4 linked regions of the Elephas maximus indicus genome follow. The protein of the gene in region 4 purifies or fractionates together with the protein of the main gene of each other region. This does not show direct contact. Links are inferred from orthologs where the notes say so. Each region holds a gene or a part of one and is shown on either strand. Other genes may lie near its edges. The genes, in order: HHEX, EIF3B, ANGEL1 and EIF4E.

The links.
Region 1: the proteins of EIF4E (region 4) and HHEX purify together in Homo sapiens (affinity purification with western blotting; 3 studies listed by BioGRID and IntAct, with this or other methods). This does not show direct contact. The link is inferred for Elephas maximus indicus from reciprocal best matches to the Homo sapiens genes EIF4E and HHEX.
Region 2: the proteins of EIF4E (region 4) and EIF3B purify together in Homo sapiens (affinity purification with western blotting; 5 studies listed by BioGRID and IntAct, with this or other methods). This does not show direct contact. The link is inferred for Elephas maximus indicus from reciprocal best matches to the Homo sapiens genes EIF4E and EIF3B.
Region 3: the proteins of EIF4E (region 4) and ANGEL1 purify together in Homo sapiens (affinity purification with mass spectrometry; 3 studies listed by BioGRID and IntAct, counting the BioPlex papers as one, with this or other methods). This does not show direct contact. The link is inferred for Elephas maximus indicus from reciprocal best matches to the Homo sapiens genes EIF4E and ANGEL1.

Annotation. Positions count from the first base shown.
Region 1 is NC_064834.1:43,890,914-43,898,191, reverse strand, and holds the start of HHEX (hematopoietically-expressed homeobox protein HHEX), read right to left. Parts: upstream 3,017-7,278; 5' UTR 2,945-3,016; coding exon 2,578-2,944; intron 404-2,577; coding exon 225-403; intron 1-224. UniProt on the Homo sapiens protein: Recognizes the DNA sequence 5'-ATTAA-3'. Transcriptional repressor. Activator of WNT-mediated transcription in conjunction with CTNNB1.
Region 2 is NC_064830.1:96,692,405-96,699,537, reverse strand, and holds the start of EIF3B (eukaryotic translation initiation factor 3 subunit B), read right to left. Parts: upstream 3,006-7,133; 5' UTR 2,885-3,005; coding exon 2,392-2,884; intron 1-2,391.
Region 3 is NC_064828.1:89,607,530-89,614,807, reverse strand, and holds the start of ANGEL1 (protein angel homolog 1), read left to right. Parts: upstream 1-4,269; 5' UTR 4,270-4,323; coding exon 4,324-4,387; intron 4,388-7,278.
Region 4 is NC_064823.1:54,608,899-54,615,934, reverse strand, and holds the start of EIF4E (eukaryotic translation initiation factor 4E), read right to left. Parts: upstream 3,018-7,036; 5' UTR 2,973-3,017; coding exon 2,955-2,972; intron 1-2,954. UniProt on the Homo sapiens protein: Acts in the cytoplasm to initiate and regulate protein synthesis and is required in the nucleus for export of a subset of mRNAs from the nucleus to the cytoplasm which promotes processes such as RNA capping, processing and splicing.

The sequences.
Region 1 (7,278 bases), on a different chromosome or scaffold from region 4:
TAGGGAGGAAGGGAGAAGCCAATTAGGGGCTGTAGAGCTGACCAGCGCTCCAGACGTTGCACAGCGCGACGGGCGGGGAGGCGCACAGCGGCTCCTCGTCTTCTCCCGTCTCTCTTCCGCACGTCCCCCCCGCCCCCCGGACCCCCGGCCCCCCGACCCCCCGAACCCGGCCTCAAGAGCCTTGCCCCCCGCCGGAGGCGGTCCCAGGCTCCGGGCGCACTCACCTGCCTCTCGCTCAGCTGCAGCATCTTGGCCAGACGCTTCCTCTCGGGCGGCGAGAGGTATTTCTGGGTCTCGAACTTCTTTTCCAGCTCGATGGTCTGATCGTTGGAGAACCTCACCTGGCCGCCTTTCCTTTTGTGCAGCGGCCTCTGCAAGAAAGGACTCCAGAGCAAGGGTTTGCCTGCGGGCAGAAGTAGCAGCACTTAGCGACAGCCCTGGAGCGCCTAGTTCCGAGGGGGTGACGAAAGGGGGAAGCGCAGGAGGACACCCAACCAGACAGTTCACATACACCCACAAGCACACGCACCGGCACATGGGCCCAGCAAGTTCGCACTAATACACACATATACCCACAGGCAAACACCCAAAGCCACACACCTAGACTGTATATACACATATGCACATACACGCCCAGTCATACACCTACACTGCATATACACACAGACCACCCTGTACACTTTAACGCACACAACCATCACATCACAGCTACATACAAACACACAGATCCTTTCATCTCTAAAAGAACGCCCACTACAAGTTGAACTTAAAACACCACGATCCTCTTTTACCAGTCGTTCTCGATTTTATACACAACTTTTTGCACCCCTAGGTCCTCTCCCTCGGTAAACTGCACTTTCCGAATACTCGGGTGTCCGCGTGTTGAGGAAAAGCGGGGCTGGAACACTACGCAAGGCGTTCGCGACCAAGGGAACCACGAGGCTCGCTGCGCGGGAAGCGCTGGGGCCCGGGCGCCCGAGTTAGGCCGTGCGTGGAGCCTCCAATCCCGGCCCGAGGGCGCCGCGGCCTCCTCTGATTTCACACCCGGTCCGCGGGGGCGGCCAGTTAAAGCCACCCCGTGGGCTATGGCAACATTTCCGTCAATGTGTTTCCTGTTGGTCTATCTCGAAAAACCCTTTGCTTCCTCCTGCGCAGTCCCACCAGTAACCCAAGGAAACCCAGAGCGCGCTCTGTGCAAACGTTTGCCCCCAAGCCCAGCCCCAGTGAGGGTCCCGCTGCGGCCCCAGCAAACAGTGCCACTGTAGTGCTGCTGCACCAAAGCCTCGCCGCTGAAATAAAAATATACAATATAATAAGCTTAAAAAAAAAAAAAACTAAAATATAATCCCCCCAAACTCCCCCTAACAGTGGGAGAGAGAGAAAACTAGGCTGGGCTAGAGGTTGTGTCATAATAACAATGACATTATTGAATTAACGGTCAGTGTTTTCAGGGTCTTTACTGAAGCTGCCAATAACACGGGATTGATATCAGACCCCACGGCCTCCTTATCCACCTCGACGCTTCAGACCCTGGAGGCGCCAAGGGCCAATCCGGAGCGCGAATCGCGGCGCTCTCATTTCTTTGGCAGTGTACCGATGGGACAAGCCAACAAATTCTATATGCCCGCGCAGCCCATCTTATCTTGCGCCCGGGGTCTACAGCTTCCTACTCCAAAGGTCTGTCCGTCGAGCTGTGCTTCTGCTAGCCTGCGCCTAAACGCTTTGAAAGCTGGCATTGTTTTTTCGAGATTTTGCTTGCGTCAGGCTTCAGACTGGTGCAAAACAGCCTCGGGGGGGTGGGGGTGGGTAAAAAAAAAAAGGAAGCAACTGGTTATTTTAGCTGCCATAAAGTCACATCCCACACAGAGGAAATGAACAATATCAGAAAAACGGATCCCGGCTATCAGAAGTCGAGTGTTTCCTGAATTTGTCTGTATTGAGGATGTCGATAAAATAATCAGCAGCGTGCACTACTCCGGGGGAAGGGTCTGCTTCATGCAGCCAGGAAAACACTTAACAGCTTCTGAAACCAGATTTACTCCTATCGAGAACTCAAGATTTCCTGTATGAACGGAAAGGGTCAGGCTCTTTCACTGCACAAGCTTGTTGAACCAGGTCCAGCCCCGTAACCATCCGAGCCCGGCAGCTGTCCCGGCCCCATCGGGGCCGGCCCGCGGCGCCTTGGTGCCCACCTCTCCGTCCCTCCCCGCTAAGGGGGCCTCACCCTGGGCGACACGCGCGGACCAGGGCTGCCCTCGACCGCCAGCGGCGCCTGAGGTCTCGCCCAGGCTCTCGCACCCCGACGCCTGCAAGGTGCAGGAAAACCAATCTGAGTCATGGTGCGGTCAGCCCTGGCCGCGCGCCGCCGGGGCCCGATCTTCCCGGCCCCGCGCGCGCCGGAGGGCCGCTTTTCAATCGCTTTTGCTACAACTTTCTATTGCTTCCCCCACCCCCACCCCCACCCCCACCCCCGCCCCCACCCCCACCCCCACCGCCTCCCGGGCGCTGCCACCTGCCGGGTGGCGCCTTCCTCGCCGCCGCCTCGGCTCGGCCCCGCCGTGACCCCGGCCGCCTTACCCAGGGGGTCGTGGCGGAGCAGGGCGTGCGTGTAGTCGTTCACCGTCCGCGGGAAGGGGTACAGAGGGCCCCCGAAGCCGCCGGGTCCGTAGGCGGCGGCCAGCGCCGCTGCGGAGTGGTGCGAGAAGGCGGGGTGGATCGGCGTGGGCTCGTACACCGGGGTCCGGTAGGAGGACACGAGGCTGGTGAAGGAAGAGTTGGGGGACGGCAGCGTGGGGGTGGGGGTGGGCGCGGCAGGCCCGCGGCCCAAGATGTCCTCGATGTAGAACGGCGTCGGATGCGCGGGCTGTAGCAGCGGCGTGGGCGCGTACAGCGGTACCCCCACGGCGGGCGCAGCCGCCCCGGACCCGGGGTGCGGATACTGCATGGCTCCCCTGCGCCTCGGCCCCTCGGAGAGCTGCCAGCCGCCGCCGCGGTGCTACATTTATCCGCGCTCCGCGCTCCCGGCGATAGGCTCTGCCGGCCACGGGGTGGGGCCGCGCTCGCTGGCCCCTTCCTGCCGCCGGGTCCTACGGCCAATGGCGCGGGGCCCCGGAGCCGCCTCCCGCCCCTACCCTGGCCCGCCCACGGCGGCCGAGCTCCCCGCCCCGAGGACGCGCCTGTTGCCGGACTCTGAGGACCCTGCGCCCAGGTGCCCGGCAGCCGGCGCCACTGCTCGTGGCTCCTGGCACCCCGGCCGGGGCCGCCCTCGAGGAAAGTCCGGGACGTGCGTCCGTCCGGGACGGAGAGAGGAAAGCAGCTGCTTGGAGTGCGACTCTGCCGAAACTCGGTCGCACTGGTCCAAGCCCGGACCCCGGGTGTCAGCAGCGGTTCCCAGGCCAACCCAGGCGAGGGACAGCGGAACTGACAGCGTAGAGGCCGCTGGAGGGCCGCGTTTTCACAGGCCTGAGAGGAACCTCCCTGGTCTGCGCGCTCCGTGGAGTAACGGTGGCACGGCTTTTGCCCGGAGCTCTTCCTAAGCTAGCAAGAGGGAGTGCCCAGGGTTACTGGGGCTGCTCCAACGAGAGAGATCAACTGCCCTTAGCTCTGCCCCAGCGGGGTGAGGACGACTAGACTTCAGGTGCTCCAGACTCTTAGCAGCTCCAGCCTGTTTCATTTGGATACCCTGCACTCAGCCACTACCCCAGGGACGCTGGCAGAAGCCGCTTCGGTCAGGTATCAGGAGAAGGCTCGGATCTTATGCGCCGGACGGAGTCTGTGCAATCTTCTCTGACCCGATGGGGACCGCTCCTTGTCCCCTCTCCCCGGGCCCTGGAGGTTGCAGCTGCGCACAGTCCGACTCCTCCGTTTTGCACGTGTTTTCTATTGAAGCAGTGACGCTGGCCCGTGTGGCCTCGGCTCTGCGCGGCGCCACTCGCCTCCGGGGCAAGGGGGCATTTTCTTGATTGACGCCCTCCTGCGGTTGTCACACCTCGCGGTGAGCTATTTCTGCCGAGGTCTCCCTCCGCCCCTCATTAATCGTGGAAATGCAAAGACTTCCCTGGTTTTTCAGTTGAGGAGGTTTTTATTTACATCTTGAAACTGTTTCTCGTATTGCAACGGAACTGCATTAGCAAGAGGAGTGGACTGGGAGCTGAAGGACCTGAGTTCTAGTTTCATTCTGCACAGTTTTGTAGAGCACCTACTTTGTGCCAAAAGTGAACTACACATAGTCCCTGTCCTTATGGTGGTGGGAAACATTTTAACACAGTGACTTATGTATGTGCTAGGAAGAAGTTTATAATGCTTTGAAAACTTAAAACAAAGGCACACCACCTAGTGAGGGTGATTAAGGGAAGGAGGGAAAGGCTTCCCCAAGAAAGTGATATTTGAAAGATGAGTAAGTGAAAACAAGCCTAGAGTGAGAGAGAACATTCCAAGTCCAGGAAATAACATGCAAATATTAATGCAACTTTGGGCAAGTCACCGCTCTGAGCTTTCGTTTTCTCATCTGAAACATTAGGGCCTTACACTAATGATCTCTCATCTTTTTGGGGTAGGGTCACAGGCATCTCTCAGAATCTGACACAGACAAGCTCTGCATCTGTAGTATGCTGTTATTTGGGCTGCATGTACCTTTGCTCTAGGTATGTAAACTGTCTGGAAAAAGGCACAAAAAATGAATACCATTTAGTTGTATAGGAAGAGAGCGTAGGGTGAGAGGAGAATGCATTGTATACCTTTTACATACTTGGAGAATTGAACCATATGGATGTGTGACCTATTGCCAGTATAAGTAAGTCTTTGGAGAGGCTGCTGATTCTAGTTCTGGGACAGAAAAAGTACAAGGTAAGCCCAAAACATCTTGTTTAGAAGAATGGATTTTTCTAAAAAGCTATAAAAGAAATTTGGGGGCATAATGGGGAAAATCAATATGAATTGTATGTTAGATGACATTATTGTTAATTGTCTTAGTTATAATATTAGTATTGTAGGTTATATTGGAAAATTCTTTATTCTTGGGAGATTCTAGCTGATTTAGGATTTTGATAAATGCAATTTATTTTCAAATAGTTCAATGTATGTGCCCATATATACACACATATACATACATACATATATATATATATGCACACATATGTACACTTATATCTAAACACATATGTAAGGAGCCCTGGAGGCACAATGGTTAAATCTTCAGCTGCTAACGGAAAGGTTGGCAGTTCAAACCCACCAGCAGCTCTGGAGGAGGAAAGACCTGGTGATCTGTTCCCATAAAGATTACAGCCTAGGAAACCCTATAGGGCAGTTCTACTGTCATACAGGGACACTATGAGTCAGAATTGGCTCAATGGCACACAACAACAACAAACACATATGTATATATAAAGACAGAGGTAAAGCAAATACAGCAAAATATTACTCGGTGAATTTAGGTCAAGGGTATACAGGTGTGTATATAGTTCTATATACAGTTGTGCCATGTATCATCCGAACTTCTATGTAGGTTTGAACTTCTTGAATATAAAACCTAGAAAAAGTAAATATGATTTTATGTTTAAAAAAAAAGGTAAAAGTATTTGAATGATTTAAGTTTACATGGAATTTTAGATAGTGCCTTGATCCTGGGACCTGTTTGTGGAGGGCTGTTTGAGAAAAATTTGGTCCCTCAGTGGTCAGGTCTAATGTGGCCACTCCACCAGCCATAATTCTCATCAATGGATGGAGAATTCAGGCAGATGCTGAAAGACTTTGAAAGGGAAATGTGTTCTTCTTTGCTCCAAGGACAGAGACAGGCTTTGGGGACAAAGAAAGGACAGTTATTATTACCTGAAGCTTAAACATGCCTTCAAAAGATGTTCGGGTCTTAAAAGGTTGGGACTTATGTGAACTAAATATAGCAGTGATTATTTTCTCACAAAATTTCCCCCATATCTTCGATTTTCTCCTTTTTCCTGCGTTCTTCCATTTAAAAAACTTGTTGCTGTCCAGTCGATTCCGACTCACAGTGACCCTATAGGACGGAATAGAACTGCCCCAAAGGGTTTCCAAGCTGGTGGATTCAAACCGCTGACTTTTAGGCAACAGCTCTTAACTACTACACCACCAGGGCACCCTCTTCCATTTAGCTGGTAATTCAGATGACTACTCCAATTCATTTAATGTTCTTTACAGTAAATCGCTAGCCAGCCTTTATTCTCCATCTTCAAATATGGTATGGTATTATAGTACTAGTTTATTTTGTGAGTGACTCAGCCACCAGCCAAAAGGATCTAAATCTACAAAAATAAATATTAAAGTGCTAGGGGAATGACCCCTAACTAGGAAAAGGAAGCATCGTCTCTTTCTTTGATTTAGCCACAGACACTGTGAAGTGCATAGAGGTGTTAAAAAAAACATGGGTATAGCGTTCCAACTCAGCTACATAATCCTAACCAGCAAATTGAAGCACTTAATTCTTTTAAGCTATGTAACACTGCCTCTTCTAAATCCAGTCGTCAGATCTGTGTTCACTTTGCTACACTTAAAAAAAAAATTACAACCACATTTGTGAATATCACATTTATTGAACTGCATAATTTTTAATATCACTAGTGTAGGTTTTATAGTTTGTTTTATTGTTTAAAAGTCATTTGGGGCGCTAAAAGAACTAGATTTTTTCAATGTTGTCCTTATGATTTTTTTTTTCCACACAGTCAGAACTAATAAAACTAAACTGTTGTAGCTATTTAATTCAAAATCTCTTGGAGTTTCAATATTTTCTCTCTGCTGGATACTAAAACCAATAAAGCTACATGAGATTTTAATTATATTCTGAATTAAACAAGACTCTTAAAAAAAATTGGCACCATTTATTTTAGTCATAGCTATTATGCAAGTGTCCAAACTTTGTGAGAAGAGAAGGTGGCTCTCAATGATAATTTATCTAGTAGGAACTTAGGTAACTTTTTACAACTTATTCTCAATAATTAAATCTAGGTAGGGATAAAATTTCAAGTTAGATTTAGCTAGAAACCATTGATGGATTATGTAACAAGTTGGTTCTATTTATACTTACACTAAAACTTTTACTACCTTCAACTGTTGGAGTGACTAAATCATTCATTAAATCGTATGTCCAATCATTTCATTATTTTATTTAAAATGTGACAAACTCTAATTAGTGTTTTTATGCTTTACTTGCTGAATTACTCACATGATCAAATAGAAATGCCTTGTCTGTGTCATGAATGGAATCAGAGTCCTGGAACATATGGGCAGGTGTCTCCATGACACTGATGT
Region 2 (7,133 bases), on a different chromosome or scaffold from region 4:
CTCAGCAATCTACTCCACCTCAGGACACGTAACCTTTGGGTAAAGGGTTTGGACTTGATAAGCAGCTCCCATGCCTTCACTAGTTTGTCATGTCTTTCCTGCTTTTTGAGGTAGAATGTCTTTTACCTTGTGAAAAAAAGCATAACAAAATAAACGGTGACAGTAGCCCTTTAAGAAAACACTTAAATGAAGAGTTGACAACTCTATGCCAGCGTCCTAAATTTTCCTCTTCCTTTCACTTGTTAGGAATCTATGTAATTCTGACTCAATCTATGTGATTGCCAGCACAATACCACACAAAAAAATCTATGTATGTTAATGTGCTAACATCTAGTTTTCTTGGTGTATGTATCAGTGGCTACTTCTACAGCCACTACTTTACCATAAACTAGTCAACACGTAGAGGGATCCATTGGTGAGCTTGGAGAGTTAAAACGGCAAAAAAAAAAAAAGAGCAAACCAAAAACTAATGTAATCAGCTATCAACAACTCTCAGGCAGCAGAAATAAAGCCTGTAAACCTGATCAAGGTAGAAACCACCGGAAAGCAAGCTATAGCTGCTTGTTGTTGGGAGCCGCTGAGTCCATTTCAACTCACAGCGACTCCATGTGACAGCAGAATTGCCCCATAGGGTTTTCTAGGCTGTAATTTTTTTTTTTAATTTTTATTGTGCTTTCAGCGAAATTTTACAAATCAAGTCAGTCTCTCATACAAAAATTGATATATACCTCGATACATACTCCTAGTCGTTCTCCCAATGAGACAACACACTCCTTCTCTTGACTATCTCCATGTCCATTCAGCCAGCTTCTGTTCCCCTCTGCCTTCTCATCTCCCCTCCTGACAGGAGCTGCCCACACAGTCTCATGTGTCTACCTGATCCAAGAAGCTCACTCCTCACCAGTATCATTTTCTATCCCATAGTCCAGTCCGATCCGTAACTGAAGAGTTAGCTTTGGGAATGGTTCCTGTCTTGGGCCAACAGAAGGTCTGGTGAGCATGACCTCCGGGGTCCTTCTAGTCTCAGTCAAACCATTAAGTCTGGTCTTTTTACAAGAATTTGGGTTCTGCATCCCACTGCTCTGCTGCTCCTTCAGGGGTTCTCTGTTGTGTTCCCCGTCAGGGCAAGTCATTCGCTGTAGTGGGCACCATCTAGTTCTTCTAGTCTCAGGCTCATGTAGTCTCTGGTTTATGTGGCCCTTTCTGTCTCTGGGGGTCATAATTACCTTGTGTCTTTGGTGTCCTTCATTCTCCTTTGCTCCAGGTGGGTTGAGACCAATTGATGCATCTTAGATGGCCGCCTGCTAGCGTTTAAGACCCCAGATGCCACTCTCCAAAGTGGGGTGCAGAATGTTTTCTTAGTAGACTTTATGATGCCAATTGACCTAGATGTCCCCTGAAACCATGGTCCCCAAACCCCCGCCCCGCTATGCTGGCCTTCGAAGCATTCAGTTTATTCAGGAAACTTCTTTGCTTTTGGTTTAGTCCAGGTGTGCTGACCTCTCCCGTATTGTGTGCTGTCTTTCCCTACACCTAAAATAGTTCCTGTCTCCTATCTAATTGGTGAATACCCCTCTCCCTCCCTCCTTCACCTGTAATCTTTGAGGTAGCAGATCACCAAGCCTTTTTCCTGCAGAGCAGCTGCTTTGGTTCAAATTTGAGAAATAACCTCCCAACACAAGAACGGTGGCTTGCCTGACACATTTAGGAAAAAAAGTAACCACAACGGGAATTTGGCAAGGTCTGCCTTGCACTATCCTGCGCAGGAAATCTCCAGTCAGAAAACCAGTGGAACAGGGACACACCAATCCAGCTCTGCCACAACCTGCACTTCCCAGTCCTGCGGGGAAATATCCGCAGCCACCTCTACAAGTCAAAACCTGTGTCAGCCCTAGGACACCTGGACCAGCAACCCTGAGGTCTTGCCCTTGGACCATGGGAAGTCAGTCCAGGAGACCAATCCAGGAGAGTCCTACTTGGCTCTGCCCCCAATGGCTACACATCAGTGTGCACTGACATAGCCTCCTGTGTAGGTACAGTCTGACAGCCGCCCACCACCGCGATCCTGGATTTTTGGCTGTAATGCAAATAATAGGTTCCCTTCTTTAGGGACCCCTGTATCATTCTGACATATTCTTAACCCCAAAGAAAGCGATAGTAGGCTCTCCTAGAAAAATTCCACTACGCACTGGTGGCAACAGTTGGGAGACAGTGCCACCTCCCTCGCATTTCTACAGAGCCTGGAACTTGGGCACAGGCACATCACATGTCACCGAAACTTGTCATCTAAAGTCAATCTCCAACACTAGCTCCCTGACCCTTCTCGGTTAAAAAGCCTCCTTTCTCTACGTCGGCCACAGGTCAGGGAAGGACAGCGGGCCGGGGACGCACCTTCCTCGCTCACGTCGTCCACGAAGTCCTCGGGGTCGCTGAAGGAGGGTTCGTCCGCGTCACCGTTCTCCAACGCGCGTGGCTCTGCCTCCGCCGAGTCCCCCTTGTCCTCACCCGCCTCTTTCGACGACTCCTGTGGCCGACTCTCGGCGGCCTCGGCTCGGGACTCCTCCCGAACCGGGGACTGGGGCTCCTCCCCGGACGGCGGCAAGGGGGACTGGGACGAACCCGCCGGATAGCTGGGGACCGCGCCCGCTGACTCCGTCTCCTTCTCCGCGGCCGCCGGCTCTGCCTTCGCTTTAAGCTCGGGCTCGGCCGCCACCACCGCCTCCTTCTTGGCCTCGGTCACCGAGTCCGCCGCCCCCGGAGCCCCTGGCCCCGCGGGCCGCAGCGGCTCCTCCTCCGGCGGCGGCTCGGCGGCGGGCTGCTGCGCCCCCGGCTCGGTCTGCTCCTCGGCCGCTCCGGGCGCCGCCACGTTCTCCGCGTCCTGCATGGGCCCAGGCGCAGCCTCCCTCACCTCAGGGTCCGCAGCCGCCGCGCTTCCGACTCTCCCAGGCCGCACCGCGCGTTCGCCGGCGCCTACTCTCTAACCATGTGCGATCGACCCGGGCAGGTCCGCACCACCGCGCCCACTGCGGGGGGGGCTTCCATGCCTTGACCCCGCCTGACGTGCTGGGAACCACCCAAGCTCGGAAGTGTGCCTATCAACTGTCTGAATAACATTTTTACATCAAGTAACTATTCAATTCCAATCCACTAAGTTTTCTTCCTCATTAGGTAAACTCATTAGGAGCTATAACCACCCCCGTTTGTGGTAGCGGATTGGTTTCACCCAATATGGCAGCCAGCCCTTCCTGCTCCCATCAAGCGCTTCGGTGAAGGACGGAACTACTTGTGGCGCCGAAGGGAGGTCTCAGAAATGATCTTTCTATGCGGAATTATGTGTAAATATAGTTTGACTCAAAAATTAATACTAGAGAAAGCCATAAGTTCAACCAACGATTTGGTGTGATAGCCTAGCTTTTAACCGGACAAACCATTTAGCTTATATTACGAAACTCCCCTTTACATACTGGTTTTTAGTTTCGCCTACTGACTGGGCAAAAGAGCCGACGATTCCAAAATGAAATAAAATATGGTGTTAACAAGAAGCAGCCAAAACTACCAGAAAGAATATTTCCCGGCCCAATACAAAAATTTGAGAGTTGCTTTACTCGCTTACGCCCAGCTGCACTTGTAGCGGCCGTAACACTGCTCTTTACCCATTCTGGCTTTCACGATGGTTCGGTCCGCAAGAAACTATCGCTCTCCGACCCGGGAGCGGGTCACGTGGTTCAGGGGGGTGTGGCCAGAGAAGTCAAGAGACACGTGAGGCGGGAGGAAGACGCAGAAGGTCTGAGCAACGACGTGGAGACAGGAGGGGCGGAGTTTGCGACAAGGGTGGCTCAGGTATTTATCCACAGACTCGAGGCCAACCACTGATGTTTTCATCATACAAGAGTTGTGCAGTTGCGTAATACTGGGTTCGATTCCTCCTCCTGTCAACTGTAACCTTGGGAGAATCTCTGAGCCTCTGTGCCTCAGTTTCCTCACCTGCAAAGTGAGGGGTGAGTGGCTCTTGGAACCTTTTCGAGCTGTACTCCTGCAGAAGGTGAATGAGTTTCACTAAAGACCAAAAGAATCTTCTAAATTTCTAGTTTCGTTTGCAGTTTTCTTAAATCATTGCCAACCGTTTTCTTCTAGAAAGTGCTAAAAGGTGATAAACCAGTGAACAAGGAGGTTGTAGTTTATAGTTTGGCACCTAGGTGTTTCTCAGATAGGAAAGACTTCTATGGCATGCTTCTATTGCAGAACTAGAAAAAAAGTCAGTTTTCATTAAGTTGATTCTGACTCCTGGCAACCCCATGTGGGTCATAGTAGAACTGGGCTCCATAAGGTTTGCAGTGATTGATATTTTGGAAGTAGATCGTCAGGCCTTTCTTCCGAGGCACCTCTGGGTGGACTTGAACCTCAAACCTTTCCTTTAGCAGCAGAGCGTGTTGATAAGTTTGCACCACCCAGGGACTCCTTGTAGCAGAGTAGCAACTCATGACTCTTCCAGTGAGTGAATTTGTCATTTTCTTTTCTGCAGGGAAAGTTATGAACACTGTCATGATGCAATAAAAAGTATTTATTATCTCTTAGTATTCTAGAGGGGAGTCCTGGTGGTCTGGTGGTTAAGAGCTAGGCTGCTAACCAAAAGTTCAGGAGTTTGAACCCACCAACTGCTCCTTGGAAACCCAATGAGCAGTTCTTCTCTGTCCTACAGAGTCACTATGAATCAGAATCGACTCAATGGCAACAGGTAGGATTTGGGTAGTGTTCTAGAGGAGCCCTGGTGGCATAGTAGTTTAGCGCCACAGCTGCTAACCAAAAGGTCGGCAGTTTCAATCCACCAGCCACTCCTTGGAAACCCCATGGAGGCAGTTCTTCTCTGTCCTGTAGGGTCAGTATGAGTTAGAGTCGACTCATTGCCAATGGGAGAATTCTGGAAAGGAGCCCTGGCGGTGCAGTGTTTAAGCGCTTGGCTGCTAACTGAAAGGTTGGCGGTTTGAACCCACCAGCCGTCCGAGGAAGAAAGATGTGCCAGTCCACTTTCATCAAGATTATAGCCTTGCGTCTGGGGTCTTAAACACTAGCAAGCGGCCACCTAAGATGCGTGCATCAATTGGTCTCAACCCACCTGGATCAAAGCAGAATGAAGAACACCAAGGGCACAAGGTGATTACTAGCCCAAGAGACAGAAAGGGCCACGTAAACCATTGGCTACATCAGCCAGAGACCAGAAGAGCTAAATGGTGCCTGGCTACAACCGATGACTCCCCTGACAGGGAGCACAACAGAGAACCCAAGGGAGCAGGAGAGCAGTGGGATGCAGACCCCAAATTCTCATAAAAAGACCAGACTTAATGGTCTGACTGAGACTAGAAGGACCCCAATGGTCATGGCCCCCAGACCTTCTGTTGGCCCAAGATAGGAACCATTCCCAAAGCCAACTCTTCAGACAGGGATTGGACTGGAGGGTTGGAGAGGGATGCTGGTAAGGAGTGAGCTTCTTGGATCAGGTGGACACTTGAGACTATTTTGGCATCTCCTCCCTGGAGGGGAGGTGAGAGGGTAGAGGGGGTTAGAAGCTGGCTAAACGGACACGAAAATAGGGAGTAGAGGGAGCAAGTGGGTTGTCTCATTAGGGGGAGAGCAATTGGGAGTATGTAGCAAGGTGTACATGGGTTTTTGTGTGAGAAACTGACTTGATTTGTAAACTTTCACTTAAAGTGCAAAAAAAAAAAAAAAATAGCCTTGGGAGCCCTATGAGACAGTTCTACTCTGTCCTATAGGGTTGCTATGAACTAGAATCGACTCGACGATGGCAGGTTTAGTGCACTAGAGAGAGCATCAAGACCATCAGCAGTTGCACCACCCTCAAAAGTGAAAAGCACTGCAATTGCTATTCAAATTATGTAAGCGCCTGCTCTGTGTTGGTTATGCAGTGGTGGGTAAAGTGTGCTGTGTTAGAAGTACAGCTCTGTAATGGGAGCAACGTTCATTAATTAAAGCATCACAGAAGTGCAAAAATATGCCTGTGATTTAAAAAAAATAATTGTCAAGGCGACTCCAACTCAGGGTGACGCTATGTGTATCAGACTGATCTTTCAAAGTAGATCACCACGCCTTTATTCAGAGGGGCCTTCAGGTGGCTGGACTCCAACCGCCAACCTTCTGGTTAGCAGCTGAGCTTGTTAACCGTTTGCACCATTCAGGGACTCCACATCTGTGATAAATTCATGAAATTTTTGACACTCCTCCCTTCAAAAGGTAAAGCCTAATTCTGCTTTTAATGTGGATAGACAGTGACCAGCTTCTAATGAACAGAATGTGGCAAAAGTGATGCTAAGTGACTTCCAAGTCTAGGTCATAAAAACGACAAGCTTCTAGCTGGCTGGCTGGCTGTCTCTCGGATCACTGGCAATGAAGGAAGCTGGCCAGCATGTTCTGAGGGCACTCAAACAGTCTGTGGAGAAGCCCACATGTGGAGGAACTGAGGCAGCCAACCAACAGTCAACACCAAATTGCCAGGTGTGTGAAAGAGCTACCTTGGAAACAGATCCTGCAGTCCTGGTTAAGCCATTAGATGACTGCAACCTCATGAGAAATCTTGGGCCAGAAATACCCACCTAGGCCACTTGCAAATTTCTCACTTGCAGAAACCACAAGATTATAAATGTTTTTTATTTTAAACCCTAAATTTTGGGGTAATTTGTTGTACAGCAATGGGCAACTAATAAAATGGATTTATATATGATAACTTGTGTAGTTCCTAAAACATACTGTTAAGTTTCATAAAGATTAGGTTGCATATTGATATATACAGCAGAATACCGATTAAGAAAAATGCACAAAGTTATGTTATAGATATTACATGGGTAATATAGATAAAAATGTAAAATATGTAGAAAAAGACCTGGAAGGATGCACACGAAACTGAAAGCAGTAATTGATGAAAGTGAGTGAAATTGGTGGTGTTTTTCACAGAAAAAGTTAATTATAGGATCTAGGTGGGGTGTTTGTATGTTGACTATAAAATTAAACTTTTCTGTGTGGTTGAAAATTTTTATAATAAAATGTTGGTGGGGGGAGGATTCCAGTCAGTGTCAGAAGACCCCCCACTGAGGCAATTTGTGCCTTAAAAAGTATTTTTATAC
Region 3 (7,278 bases), on a different chromosome or scaffold from region 4:
TCTTCTGAGGTGCCTCTGGGTGGACTCAAACCTCCAACCTTTGTTTAGCAGCCAAGCTGTTAACCTTACAAATGGTGATGATCAGTACTTATTATTTATTGTCTTCATTGTTATCATGGATGAATTGAGGTGTTTAGCTGGCCTCTTGGAGTATTTCTGACATAATGAAGCCGCAGATGGTGCCGACTGTATTGCAGTTTTCTTTTGACTAGGGAGGCTGCATGTCTCCAGGCCAAGTCTTCTTGGAATCTGTAGTTACCAGCTTGCTCAGTAATGCCACCTTACCTTTTGGAGGGCCGGAGTCTTATTTGAGCCAGGGATGTGAAAAAAGACCCTACATTAGCAATAGCCAGAGCCATTTTTTTACCATTTCAAGAAGTATAATAGTAAACACTGAGAGATTATCCTGGGTCAGGCACAGTGAGGGAACCGAAACTCAAGAGGTTAGGTAGCCTGAGAGGTTACCACAGTTAAGAAGTGGTAGAGCTTGGATTCGAACTTGGTAGTCTAACTCCAAAGCTTGTGATTCTCACATTGCCTTATACTTTCCAACATAGCTGATTATGGGTTAGAAAACAAAAAGGGACCAGCCTAGCTTAACTGGCCTCAGGAAAGACCTTTGAGAGAAAATGGTATCAGTTGGCCTGGTACATTTTTGCCCATGCATATGAACTGAGCAGCCCAGTTGAGACTGAGTCCTTTAGCGGAGGTTCTTAAACTTTTTATCAAAATAACTTGGTAAGTATTTAAGGAATACAAAATCTTGGGGCCCCACTTCAGACCTGTTAAATCAGAACCCTGGGAATGGGGTCTCTTGTTGTGGGGTGCCGTCGAGTGTTAGTTCTGACTCATAGTGACTCTACGTAGAACAGAATGAAACGTTGCCCAGTCCTTCGCCATCCTCATAATCATTGCTCTGCTTGAACCCATTGCTGCAGTCACTGTATCCATCTTGTCAAGGGTCTTCCTCTTTTTCACTGACCCTCTACTTAACCAAGAATGATGTCCTTCTCCAGGGACTAGTCCCTTCTGATAGCATGTCCAAAGTATGTGAGACAAAGTCTCACCACCCTTGCTTCTAAGGAGCATTCTGGCTGCACTTCTTCCGAGACAAATTTGTTGTTTTTCTGGCAGTCCAATGTATATTCAATATTCTTCACCAACACCATAATTCAAATACATCAGTTATTCTTCAGTCTTCTTTATTTACTGCCTAGCTTTTGCATGCGTATGAGGCGTTTAAAAATACCATGGCTTGGGTCAGGCACACCTTAGTCCTCAAAGTGACATTGTTGCTTTTTAGCACTTTAAAAAGGGCATTTACAGCAGATTTGCCCAATGCAATACGTCGTTTGATTTTTTGACTGCTGCTTCCGTGAGTGTTGATTGTAGATCTAAGTAAAATGAAGTCCTTCACAACTTCAATATTTTCTCCATTTATCATGATGTTGCTTAGTGGTTCAGTTGTGAGGATTTTTGTTTTATGTTGAGGTGTAATCTATACTGAAGGCCGTAATCTTTGATCTTCATCAGTAAATGCTTCAAGTCCTCTTCACTTTCAGCAAGCAAGGGTGTGTCACCACAGGTTGTTAATTAGTGTTCTGTAATCCTGATGCCCTGCTTTTCTTCATCTAGTCCAGTTTCTTGATTATTTGCTCAGCATACAGATTGAATAAGTATGGTGAAAGGATACAACCCTGACACACACCTTTCTTGATTTTAAACCACGCAGTAGCCCCTTGTTCTGTTTGAATGACTGCCTCTTGGTCTATGGTCTATGTACAGGTTCTGTATGAGCACAATCAAGTGTTCTGGAATTCTCATTCTTCGCAATGTTATCCATAATTTGTCATGATCCACACAGTCGAATGCCTTTGCAGAGTCAATAAAACACAGGTAAACATCTTTCTGGTACTTTCTGGTTTCGGCCAAGATCCATCTGACTTCAGCAAATGATATCCCTTGTTCCACGTCCTCTTTTGAATCCAGCTTGAATTTCTATCACTTATATGTCAATGTACTGCTGTAACCACTTTTGAATGATCTTCAGCAAAATTTTAGTTGTTTGTGATATTAATGATATTCTACGATAATTTCCAAATTCCAAATTCCATTGGATCACCTTTCTTTGGAATGGGCACAAATATGGATCTTTTCCAGTCAGTTGGCCAGGTAGCTGTCTTCCAAATTTCTTGGCATAGACAAGTGAGCACCTCCAGCGCTGCATCCAGTTGTTGAAACATCTCAGTTGGTATTCTGTCAATTCCTGGAGCCTTGTTTTTCACCAATACCTTCAGTGCCCCCCGCCAAAAAAGGTTTTTTTTTTTGGTTTGTCCTTCAGTGCAGCTTGGACTTCTTCCTTCAGTACCATCGGCTCTTGATCATATGCTACCTTCTGAAATGGTTGAACATCAACCAATTTTTAAAACATTTCCTAAGTGGATAAGGAACCATGACTTCACAAAATAATAAATTTAGTCTCTACGTAAATATCTTGTTTAGGATCAGTGTTGGAACATAGACTTCGGGGAAACTATTGGGGCAAAATGGAAGGCGGGAACAAGGAGAGTTTGTTTACTTAAGCCATTGAGTGCGTCAGTCAAATCCCACTCATAGTAACCCTATAGGGCAGAGTAGAACTTACTCTTGGATTAGGAAATCTTTACAGGAGCAGATTGGCAGGTCTTTTCTCCCACAGAACTGGCCGGTAGGTTCAAACCACCAACCTTTCAGTTAGTAGCGTATCTCTTAACCATTGTGGCATCAGGGCTCCCTGGGGACTCCTTAAGTAGAGGTAATGTTTGTGGGCTAGTTTCTAAGGGGTTTCCCAACGTTCAGATTGTCTCTGGGGCCTCTACTTCTCATCTCAGGAAAAGGGATGGGTGTTGTTGCCTGGAAGTAGATTCTGCCTATAGAGCTAAGGATAAAAAGTGGGAAGGCCACAATACTGACTCTTCTTTTTCCTTTTAGCTTTTTGGTGTTATGATGTACCCAGCTGGTCCTGGATCTGGTGATTCCCCAGAGGGCTTCCCTGAACAACCAAGGCTCCAGCCACAAATTGGAAATTGCACAGCTCAGACACTGGGTACTGAAATAAGGGAGTATTATACAGTGCTTTCTTCTTCACAGCATGGTTGGGGCAGAAGATTGACGGTGGGGGTTTGGGGAAGAGAGACTCAAAGAGACCTTTGATTAGCACAGAGTTGATGGAGGAACTGGGCTTCATTTAGTGATATATGCTTTGTTCAGTCAGTCAGCAACGGTTTATTTGGGCCCTACTATATGCCCAGCTGGAAACCCTGGTGGCGTAGTGGTTAAGTGCTACGGCTGCTAACCAAGAGGTCAGCTGCCCGAATCCGCCAGGCGCTCCTTGGAAACTCTGTGGGGCAGTTCTATTCTCTCCTATAGGGTCGCTATGAGTTGGAATCGACTCGACGGCAGTGGGTTTTATGTGCTCGGCAACCCTATGGGGCAGTTCTACTTTGTCCCATAGTCGCGATGACTCCGAATCGACTCGACGGCAACGGGTTTGGGTTTTTTTTTTTTATGTGCCCAACAATGTTTTAGGCACTAGAGAGCTACCTCAGTGAAAAAAAACGAAACAGACTTGATCCCTACCCTTGTAAATTTTTTTTCCTTGTCTCTTTTACCAGTGAGACCCCCCGTTATTGTTTTTATTTTTTCCCCAGATTAGGAAACAAGGGCCAATTTGGAACAGAATGGTGAAGGAGACAAAATCTTAGACAGAGTTAAGGTGTGGATTCAGTTTTCCACCTAGAATTTTGAGTTGGAGAAGACAATAGAGTCAGGGAAAGGGGAAAATGGGGAAGATTTCGCGCTCTTTCCCCTCTCTGGTTTGGGAAGGGATAGATAACAGTCAGGGCTGGATAGGCCTTAGTAAAAGTCCAGCCTCATTTTCCATAGCCCCTCATTTTCCATATGAGAAAAATGAAGGGCGGGAAGGTTATATGGTTGACTCAAGATGGACACCTAGTTAGTGGCAGAAGTGGGAATAAAACTGTGGCTTCTGAATAATAATATGAAGCCTTCAGCGGGACACTTAAATTTTAAACTCAGACGGAAGGCTACATTCCCAAGGCAGGCCCTGTCGGTTGCCAAGGGAATCAGCTTCCCCGCCCCTGTGGGCGCGTCCGTGGCTCTGGGCTCCCAATAAAGTTGTTGTTGAAGCGCGGTCGGCGGGAGCCGCGGCGGCGCCACGTGGGCCGAGCAAGGGGCGGAGACGGGGCGGGGCCTGGGCGGGGCCGAGCTGAGGGAGACCCGGCGGGCTGCAGTGAGGAGGGGAGGTGGCGCCCGCGGCCGGCCATGATCGCGTCTTGTCTGTGTTACCTGCTGCTGCCGGCCGCGCGCCTCTTCCGCGCTCTCTCAGGTACCGGCCCCGCGTCCGACAGGCGGGCGTCCGGCCCGGGACCGTCTCGGTTGGGCCCCGCGGGGCCGCGTGCCAGGCCTCACGACCACCGTCCCTTGGACAGTGCCAAAATGTGTGAGGCGGCCGTCGCCTCTGGCCCCGCGGTGCCGGGCTTGCCCCCATGAGGCCCGGGCCTGGCTGACGACTCTGGTGGCCCGGTGGAGTCGAGCCACGGTTAACGTGAGAGGGTCTGGGAAGGGGCAGGGGCCGCCCCTGCCTGGCCCTCGGGGTGCAGAGAGGTGCTGGGCCGAGCCCCTGCCTGGCCCTCGGGGTGCAGAGAGGTTCAGGGCCGAGCCCCTGCCCTGGGGGTTGCAGAGGGCTGGTTCCGTGGGGCTGAGGCGAGTGCCCGAATTCTCTGTGGGTAGAGGCGGATCGGCCGGGGCGAACCTGCCTTCCCGGGTTGGCCTCGCACTCTCACAGCCGCCTCTCAGCCCGCCGCGCTCAGCGGAGTTTTGGCTTGAGAAACGGATCCTCTGCTCAGGATTCAGACACATCGGAACCTCAGGGCTGAAGCAGCCTTGGTAGTTGAGGGGAAAAGGCTATTCCTTGACATTTTCATGATCTGCCCGCGCTCGCCATTCCTGGGCTTTGAGATTTCAGAGGCTCTTGTGAGACCACCCCTTCCTCTCTGAGATGCCACAGAACTCCTGGATTTTCTCGGGCAGTTTAAGGGGCGGGACCAAGAAGTACTTTTTTAGAAAAAAAAGGCATTGCAACTGTGCATTCAGTACTTTTCCCTTCTGGAGTTTGACCCAAGTTTGTATGTGTGTGTATAATTTATGTATTTCGCAGAAAATATGTTTTATATTTATTTACTTTTTTACTGTCTCAGCACTACAAGCTCCCGGAGGGCAGGGCCGTGTCTGTTTTGTTTATTGTATTTTTAGTATTACCACACTGCCTGATATACAGTAGGCACTCAGTGAATTCCAAGATGTCTTGTGTATCCAAACTTCAGAGGGGTGAGAAACTCTACGGACTTGACTGTTTTCAGATATCTAAAGCATATTCCTTTAATCATGTTGCCATCATTTCTGGAGCTCTTCCTGTGTCCATAGCCCTGGTGGCACAGTGGTTGAGAGTTTAGGCTGCTAACCAAAAGGTCTGCAGTTCAGATGCACCTAACCAAAAGGTCAGCCGCTCCTTGGAAACCCTTGGGGCAGTTCTACTGTGTCCTATAGGGTTGCTGTGAGTCAGAATGGACTCAACTGGCAGTGGGTTCTTCCTGTGTCCATGATGGCAGCTTTAGTGAAATAAACTAGTTCACACTAGTTCAGAAATTTCCAGAGAGTTCTAGGGCAGGGCTTCAGACCAGTTTGTTCTGGTTGGAGACCCTGATGAAAATTTGCATTCCCACCCGATATAGTGGGTCAGAACCTGGAGTTTAACAAGATCCCCAGGTGATTTTTATGTATTGTAAATTTTAGAACCAGTACTCTACTAGTGGCTCTCAGAATTGGTCCCTAACCAGCAACATTAGCTTCCCTTGGGAACTTGTTAGAAAGGCAAATTTCTAGTTCTAAGGCTCTCAGAAGAGGGGCCACCTCTTCTCTTGTACCCCATTGGAGTAGTTCTGCTTGTATTAACTTTGTGTATTTGACTTCTACATAGGTTTTTTTTTTTTTTTTGGTGAAAAGGTTTTGCTGCTGAAAAACAAACCAGAGACAACAAATAAATCAAAAACTCCTAAATTTGAGAGCCTGTAACCTCGTGCTTATAAACCAAAGAACCTCTGCCATCTGGCATACATAGAGAATGTTTCAAGAGGCAGAGAATTATCAAATCCCAGGAACTAATGCCCAGCAACCTAGCCCGTGGGCTTAAAGCAGGATTTCTCCATCTTCGTACTATTGACATTTTAGGCCAAATAATTTGTTGTGAGAGCTGTCCTGTACATTGTAGGATGTGTAACAGCGTCCCTAGCCTCTTACCACCAGATGCCAGTAGCACCGCCACAGTTGTGACAACCACAATACAATGGCTCCAGATATGGCCAGATGTCCCTGGGGAGCAAAATTGCCCCGGTTAAAAACCATTGGAGGTGAATCAGAGGGACATAGACCAGAAACAATATAGTGACATCTGAACCATTTTTAAATTTTTCTTGCTTTCTAAAAAAAAAAAGCTGATAAAATGAACCTCTTTACTGATTAAGAGTCAGCATTACGCGTATCACTTGTACTGTGCTGCAAATAAGGGATTTATTATGTGTGGGCTGGTTGCTTGCACCAAATTACTGTGCTTAGATTTTTGGGACTCTTAATTTTAGAGTTTTTCCTGCCTGCTTTCTTGCGGGTGGGCTGTCATTTGTGGCTGCCATAACAGAGATGACAGCTGTCTCTTCTTGCTGTCAGTTATCAGCACTTCAGATTTACAGCCTCTGATGTGTTGTGGAACGGGAAAGTTGATAATGAAGTTTGTGAAGATTTTTTGAGTATAATAAATAGCGTTAAGAGGCGTAAGAGCCTTTGCTAAGATGTAAATTGTGTATTTTGTGACCCGTTTTTGTTTATTTTAGGACTTTTTCTTTTAGAATGCTTTCAAGATTAGGGGATGCTATAGAGTTAGAAAAGCTCTTGGAGATTATCTAGTCCAAACTTGTCCAGTTCCCATTTTATGGTCAAGATTGAGTTCATCTGACTAAGGGCACTGTCCAAGGACACATAATTTTGTTAACTTCCATGGTAGATCATAGCCCACAGTTCTGATTCATGGTCAAGTGCTGGTTCCAGTGTAACTTGGTTTTTAGAGCCAGTTGATGTTAATAGGAGTCTTAACCTCCAGATAAAAGGGATGTGGGTATATCAGTCCACCTCTGTCCTGGATTATGTCGGACACCTGTTCTTTTATTA
Region 4 (7,036 bases):
AAGCTAGCTGAAACAGCAAATGAAGATTTTGCAGGTTTCAGCATGGTTACTTCAATTGCAAGACAATACTAATCAGTTGATTAAAAAAAACAAAAAACCCACTATTTAAAATCGTCAAAAGAATTCTAATTGACTAGGCTGTGAACAAGGGTGCTTTAAGATTACTAAAAATTTGCATTTCTCATTAAAAATGAAGCCTTCAATACTATTCAACATACATTTTCTAACTGCTGTAGTTTCAATCTGGCTTCTACCTCCACACACACACTTTAGGTTTTTAGGTTCCTTTACTCCCCAAAGAAACCCTGGTGGTGTAGTGGTTAAGTGCTATGGCTGCTAACCAAGACGATGGCAATTCAAATCCACCAGGCGCTCCTTGTAAACTCTATGGAGCAGTTCTACTCTGTCCTATAGGGTCGCTATGAGTCGGAATCGACTAGACAGCAGCGGGTTTGGGTTTTTTTGGCTTACTCCGGAAATTTAAATGTACTATCCAAATTTCGAGCAGCCCTGGTGGCCCAGTGATTAAGTGCTTGGATGCTAATGGAAAGTTCTGCAGATCAAACCCACCAGCCACTTCCCCAGGTGAAGATGTGACAGTCTGCTTCTGTAAAGATTTACAGCCTTGGAAACCCTATGGGGCAGTTCTTTTCTGTCCCACAGGGTCACTATGAGTCAGAACTGACTCCAAGGCAATGGATATTCAAATTTCCTCAGGGTCAGCACTGGAATAAATACTATATTGTGTCACTAACCACACGACTTGGAATTAAGCTCCTTAAGAGTTTACATTGAAGAATCACATATTGTATAACCTTGTATCCTAAAGTACACTTGATACAACTAAATACATTAATGGCAAAAAAAAAAGAAAAAGAGAGTTTTCTTTTTTTTATGAACATTTGACTCAAAACAGTCCATTACTTTGTGGTTTTGCACTGTGGAAACAAAACTGCTTAGCGCTGCAAGGTCTAAAGGACCGAAATGCTACTAAAACTTCAGAGAATATATTGTTTTATTGTTGAAACAACAACAAAAAAACCAAACCCGCTGCCATCGAGTCAGTTCTGACTCACAGTGATGCTATAGAACAGAATAGAACTGCCCCATAGAGTTTTCTGGGTGCGCCTAGTGGATTCAAGCTACAGATCTTTTGGTTAGCAGCTGTAGCACTTAACCACTATGCCACCAGGGTTTTACTGTGTAGGACACTGATAATACAGATATGAGAACGGATGGTGTCAAAAGTGGACATGGGAGCCTCTTAAAAGGAGTATTCAGTTAAAATTTTACGTATTTATCCTACTTCTTTATTTATGTAACATTAGTGTGCTAAAGTCAATTAATCGTTATTAGCAACTTAAGGGACAGTTTCACAGTCAACCAAATTTCCAGAAACAGAAATGAAAACTGGTGCCAGTGAAATAACAAGTAACCAAGCAGAAGAAATGCCTTAACTTTTGGCAACAAGAAAAGTTTACATCAATGTAATGAAAAGTAGCCTTTTTGTATTCTATAGGCCTTTCCCCAACTAGAATTTTTTAAAGTTATAAAAATTCTTAAAAAGTCAAAACAAATTGGCAAATCATTACCAAGATCACTAACTACCATGAAAGATAAACAAAAATTTGACAAACAAGGTCTTGAACTGGTTCAAGTGTCAAAAGTTTTCTAGCTGTTTATTAATATACTCACATTATTCCCCCAAAACATTTTCACTTCGGTGTCACATTCCTAAGACAGCAACGGAGGCCTAAGAAGTTCAAGTGAGCTAGAGGTGGCAAACCCAAATCGATAAAGATACCCTCTCCTTTGGTGGCTAACTACCAACTCTTTGCCATAGAATCAGCTTGCTTCGACTAAGTTTAAAATGGTGCCTAAATTAAGCAGAGAGCCTTTGTGAACGCTTAAAAGTACCAAATGGAAAATTAACTTGAAAAGCTAAGTTCCTATTCCCAGTAAGTTGTTCCTTAGAAATATTCCAGACGATAAAGACTCGGGACAGCAGACGGATCTAGACTCATCCGCATTCTCTTGAGGCGTGCGCTCTGCGCGGAAAGGATGAATGAATGGAAGTGAGGCGCGTGTGAAATGCAGCAGGTCCGGCCGGCAACTGGATCAGCAGCAACCATCACTAGGCCTCGCTCCTCCCCTTTCCCTCCTCCATGACAGCCCAGTCTCAAGCATGGAGGGGCGAAGACAATGTGGTCCCCCTTCTCACCCCGCAAACCCTCATCCTATTAGGAAGGCTCCACCGCGCGGCACCAGGCTTTCCTCCCCACCCCAAATCCGTCTCTCCTCCCCAGCCACCAAGCCTGGCAACTCTCGGGCACGCCAGAGAACACGCGCTCGCCCCTCTGCACTACCCCCGGCGAAATCGAACCTACCCCGCGCGTGCCGCGGCACCACTCCCGCCCAACCCACTCACCGGCAACGCACGCCCACCGGCTTCCCAAGCCCACCGGTCTAGTGAAGGAAGACTCGCGCGCGCCCCCGACCCAAGGCTCGAGAGAGAGAGGAAAAGGCTGCCCCGGGGCTCCCTCCTCCACCTCATTCCAGGCCGGCTCGCCGCCCACCCTCCCCGCGATTCCGACGCCTGCTCGAAGCCGGCCCTCCTAACCCGAGGACACAATCCCTACACACCTATCCCAGGACCTGGATCACCCTCCACCCTTGCAGACACCTCGCGGCTCCACAGGAGGCGCCGCGCCGCCCCTCCCCCAGTTCTCTCCCCCAGCGCTCCGGCCCCCACCAGAACGTGTGAGCTACACGCTGCCGCGGCCAGTCTCCGGGGCGCCCCCAAGTTGCCCGCGGGGAGGTCAAGCCCAAGGAGAGGGGGAGGGGGCGGTAAGGGGTAGCGAGCGCGCCGGGAACGTCGTCCCGCGGGGTCCCCCAGTCGGAGGGGAGACGGAGCGCGGGGACCGGTGGGGGTGGGGGCCAAAGGCAATACTCACCGGTTCCACAGTCGCCATCTTAGATCGATCTGATCGCACAACCGCTCCTGAAGGGGGGGTGAGAGGAAAAAAATGAGGTTCAAACCGGATTGGCCGGCTACTGTCCACGTGACGAACGTGTCCGTTTGGCCCCGGCGGCGCCTGCGCAAGACTGCGGCTGCGTGTGTAACGAGAGGCTTCTGGGAAGTGGAGTCTTCCCTCCTCCCCCCCCCCGCCCTTTTTTTTTTAAGGGCAAAGAAGCATTTAAGGGAAAAAAAAAAAAAAGGCTGGTCACGTGGTCTATGGGTGGGTGCGCTGTTCTTTGCGCCGCGGACACTAGCGTGCTAGTGCGTCGTTTTCAGTCTTCTGTTCTTCCGCCTGGATAGTTGCTGTCGCACTCACTGCTAGGCATTCCTACAGTACCCTTTGTCGCCCTTTCCTCCCATCTTCCCCTGAAGGTTGGAACTGCAGACTCAATACGCACAATAAGGCTTCATTTGCTTAGGTGAGGTCCTAGGACAAGTTGGCCTGTGTGTTTATTTCGTTTTCTTTTGACCTCCCACCATTTTCTCTCTTAGTTTCAAAAAGAGGCGGCGATGAAAAGTCGTTGTTTAAGCAATCAATCCTCTCCTGTCCCCCGCTCCGCTAACGCTGGTGAGCATTCTTTGCCATCATTGCGAAAAGGGATGGACGGAACCGCCCGCAACACCCACTTGCTACTGATTGGGGGGGAGGTGGAGTGGACCCTACAGCTTTTCCTGTCCCAAATCCTGAGATTAAGACTTCAGGGCTAAATCCTTCCAGGAAGTAAAAAATTATTTGGAAGCTCTGCCCTTTCGGTTCCACTATTCTGCTTTAACGTGAATGAAAATAGCCTAGTCCAGGTGCCAGCCAGGGAACCACTCTGGGCCCCGCTGACTAAGCCCTGGACTGACCGTCAGGAGTCGTTGGGCGGGTCAACTCTTAACTCTTGACATTGACTGGTTTCTCCTTAGGCTAGTGACTTAAGCATTGAGTGCCTCGGCTTTTTCATTTATGAACCAAAGGTGGTAATACACTTACCTCACAAGAGTATGCTATGGTAATGACTATAACCAGCTTTGAAAAGGCATCAGACTATAAACGCCTCAGAATAAGCAGCCGCGTGACTTTCTAAGGATCAGCTGCTTCCCCTGGTTTTTTTTTTTTTTTTTTTAACGTTTTTCTTTTCTTTTTTTTTTTGTTTATTACATTGTGATGTACATCGATGCAGTTTTAAAGTTTGAAGAATGTTTTTTTCCTTGTAATTGTAGTGCCTTTGATGGAGGCTTTGATGTTCAGGAAAATATTATGATGTTCACAACAATCACTGGCGATTAGAAATTTGTCCCCGCACTAGCATCCTACATTTCGTTTCCTTCTAAGGTAACTTCCCCAGCTGTTAATTCTCAAGATGGTGTTATTCTGCACAGCCTGGCTCTTACTACAAAGAAATAAATCTAGTTACCGTAAGGCTTTAATGAGAAAGACACTATCTCGTGACTATTTCCCAGGCTTCTTAAGAATGTTAACACCAGGAAAATCAGTGTAAGCAAGCTGCCAGTGTCTGCCTGCTTGTAGTGTTGCTGATGTCCAGAGCTGTGTCACACCTATTGTTGAGTACATAATGGATGCTTGAGTTGACTAACATAATTGAGGATGTTTAAGAACTCAAAGTCATTGCCTGTTAGTATGTTTTGGTTTACCTGGATGTCAGAAATGATTCATGAAAACTTTTGTACAGTCAGGTTCGCTCAAGTAGGTCCTAAAGTAGATAGAATCTAAAAAATAAAAGTCTAAATGAATTCCTACTTAAAGACTACCTTCTGTTATTTAAACTGTCTTAAGTATTTTCAGTTGATCTTAATGGTGTTTTCTGTTGGTTAAAAGTAGTATCTGGTTATCTTCTTCGAAGAGAAGGCATAGATGTGCTAGATAACAAAAGAATCAAGGAGGCTGACAAGGAAGTACCCAGATGGAAATGAAAGCCAGTGATGTTTTAAAACTTTTTTTTTCTTTTTTTTAGAACAATGGCTCCCAAACTTTGGCCCAAAACTCCCCACTCTTAGTAAACATCCTAGATCTTTTAGAACACTTACTTGTGCTCCTATATTTTATAACGTAATTTCTCTTCATTTTGTATATGCTTTATTGCATGGGTTTTACGGCACGTTCATGTGTCTTAATAACGCTGTTAGATTCTACCCTATCATTGTGATTAGGTTTTTATGTAAGAGTATGTGTATGTGGTAGTTTTGTGTTGTTTTTGCTGATCTGAAATATACAGAGAAGAACTTTTATACTTTGTCTATTAATGTGTAACAAATTACATTTGTTACCTTACTACCCTATTTATGATTAGAGTTAGAGAAAAGAAAGGTTAATCGAAGCTTAGATTTATGAAATAGAATGTAATATTAGAATACTATTCTATTTGATCAAATTATCTAGCTTATACGTAACTACTTATTTCCCAACATAGTAACATGGTAACTATTATTCATAAGCCTGGGATGATCGGTTATCAATTAGCATCTGTAAATAATCATGATCTTTTTTCTGCATAATATGTTTCTCAAACTGGTATATAACTTGTCTTAATAGATTTAACTCATAGGAAATGACTTTAAATAATTTGATGGAACACATCAGTTGTTTTTATTACGTATTTACCGTTTTGTCATTGGAGCTTTATTTAGGCTTGGCAGATAACCGAAGTCACTGTTTTGCTAGGCTTTTCAACTGTGTTTCAAATTACTACAGTATGTCCCTCAGAAATATTATTGCTGCGCTGTCTAGGGCTTTTTTCCTTTTAAAGACAGACTTTGTAATTTTAGACATTCTGTTTAGATTAAGTACCTTTCTTAGTCTATGAACAGTACAGAGCCGTCATTTTTCTTAAAATGAGTGGATTTTGAGATAGAAAATATGAAATTATGTAATAAATAAGTGAACGTTATTACTGTAATGTTAGTAACTTTAGACATAGTCTAAACCAACCCTTAGTTAACACTAATCTGACATTCCTTTCTTTAAACCTTGTTCAGCTTTTTTTCTAAATTGGTCAAACTTGCTACTTTATTTCATGTTCTATTTTTTTAATTATTATTTTTATAGGAAAATCACTCAGAAAGACCCAACATAATGGACCCTAATAGGATAAATAGTGTTTTAAATTACAATTGTATAGTTTAGTGGTTAAGAGCATGAGCTCTGGTGTCAGCCTATCTTGGTTCATAATCCCAACTCCACATTTACTGTATGACTATAGGCATGTTACTTACTCTCTTTGTACCTCTTTTTTGTTATTGTTGTTTGTCTGCTTTTTCTTAATGAGTTAGAGGGGCACAATAATTGTACCAATCTTAGATGGCTAGTGTAAGAAATAAATGAGTTAATTCATATAACATGCTTAGAATGGTTCCTAACACATAGTAAATACTGAATATTACCTATTTCATTAGTATGATGTACTATTGTATAGAACTGACTGAACGGCATCTAACAGCAACAACTATTATGTTGACACAGATTTCTTATCTCTGTTTTTTAGTACAGTGGAATATAATTATGGATTCTTTTATTCTGAGAACTAATACCAACCCATGATCTTTGAGGGTATTCCAGGCTTTCAAATGTTGAAAGTCAACTAACTTTTATTGATGATAACATACCAAGTATTTTCCGTATTAATTACCTCATCTGATCTTTATGGCAATTATGTGAATTAATCACTATCATCCCCACTTTATACATAAAGAAACAGATTTAGTAAAGTTAGAGGAGACATCCAAGTCTGCATTCAAACACAATTCTCTTGATTCCAAGATTCCTTCTTTCCTCCATACCATAGTTGCTTCCCTCTGATAGGTTCTTGCAGAACTCCTCTTTCTCCTCAAAGGACTTTTAATTCTAAGTTCGTCTTCAAAACTGACAAGAAACCGTTCAAGAAATATTAAGTTACTAATGGCAAACGTGTGGTCACTGAAGGATATTTAAAGGACACAGGAAGCACAGGCACTTCCCTGTTGGACTGTAAAATCTGGTTGGCTTACTAAGTCATAGAAATATAAATAGTTCAGTAC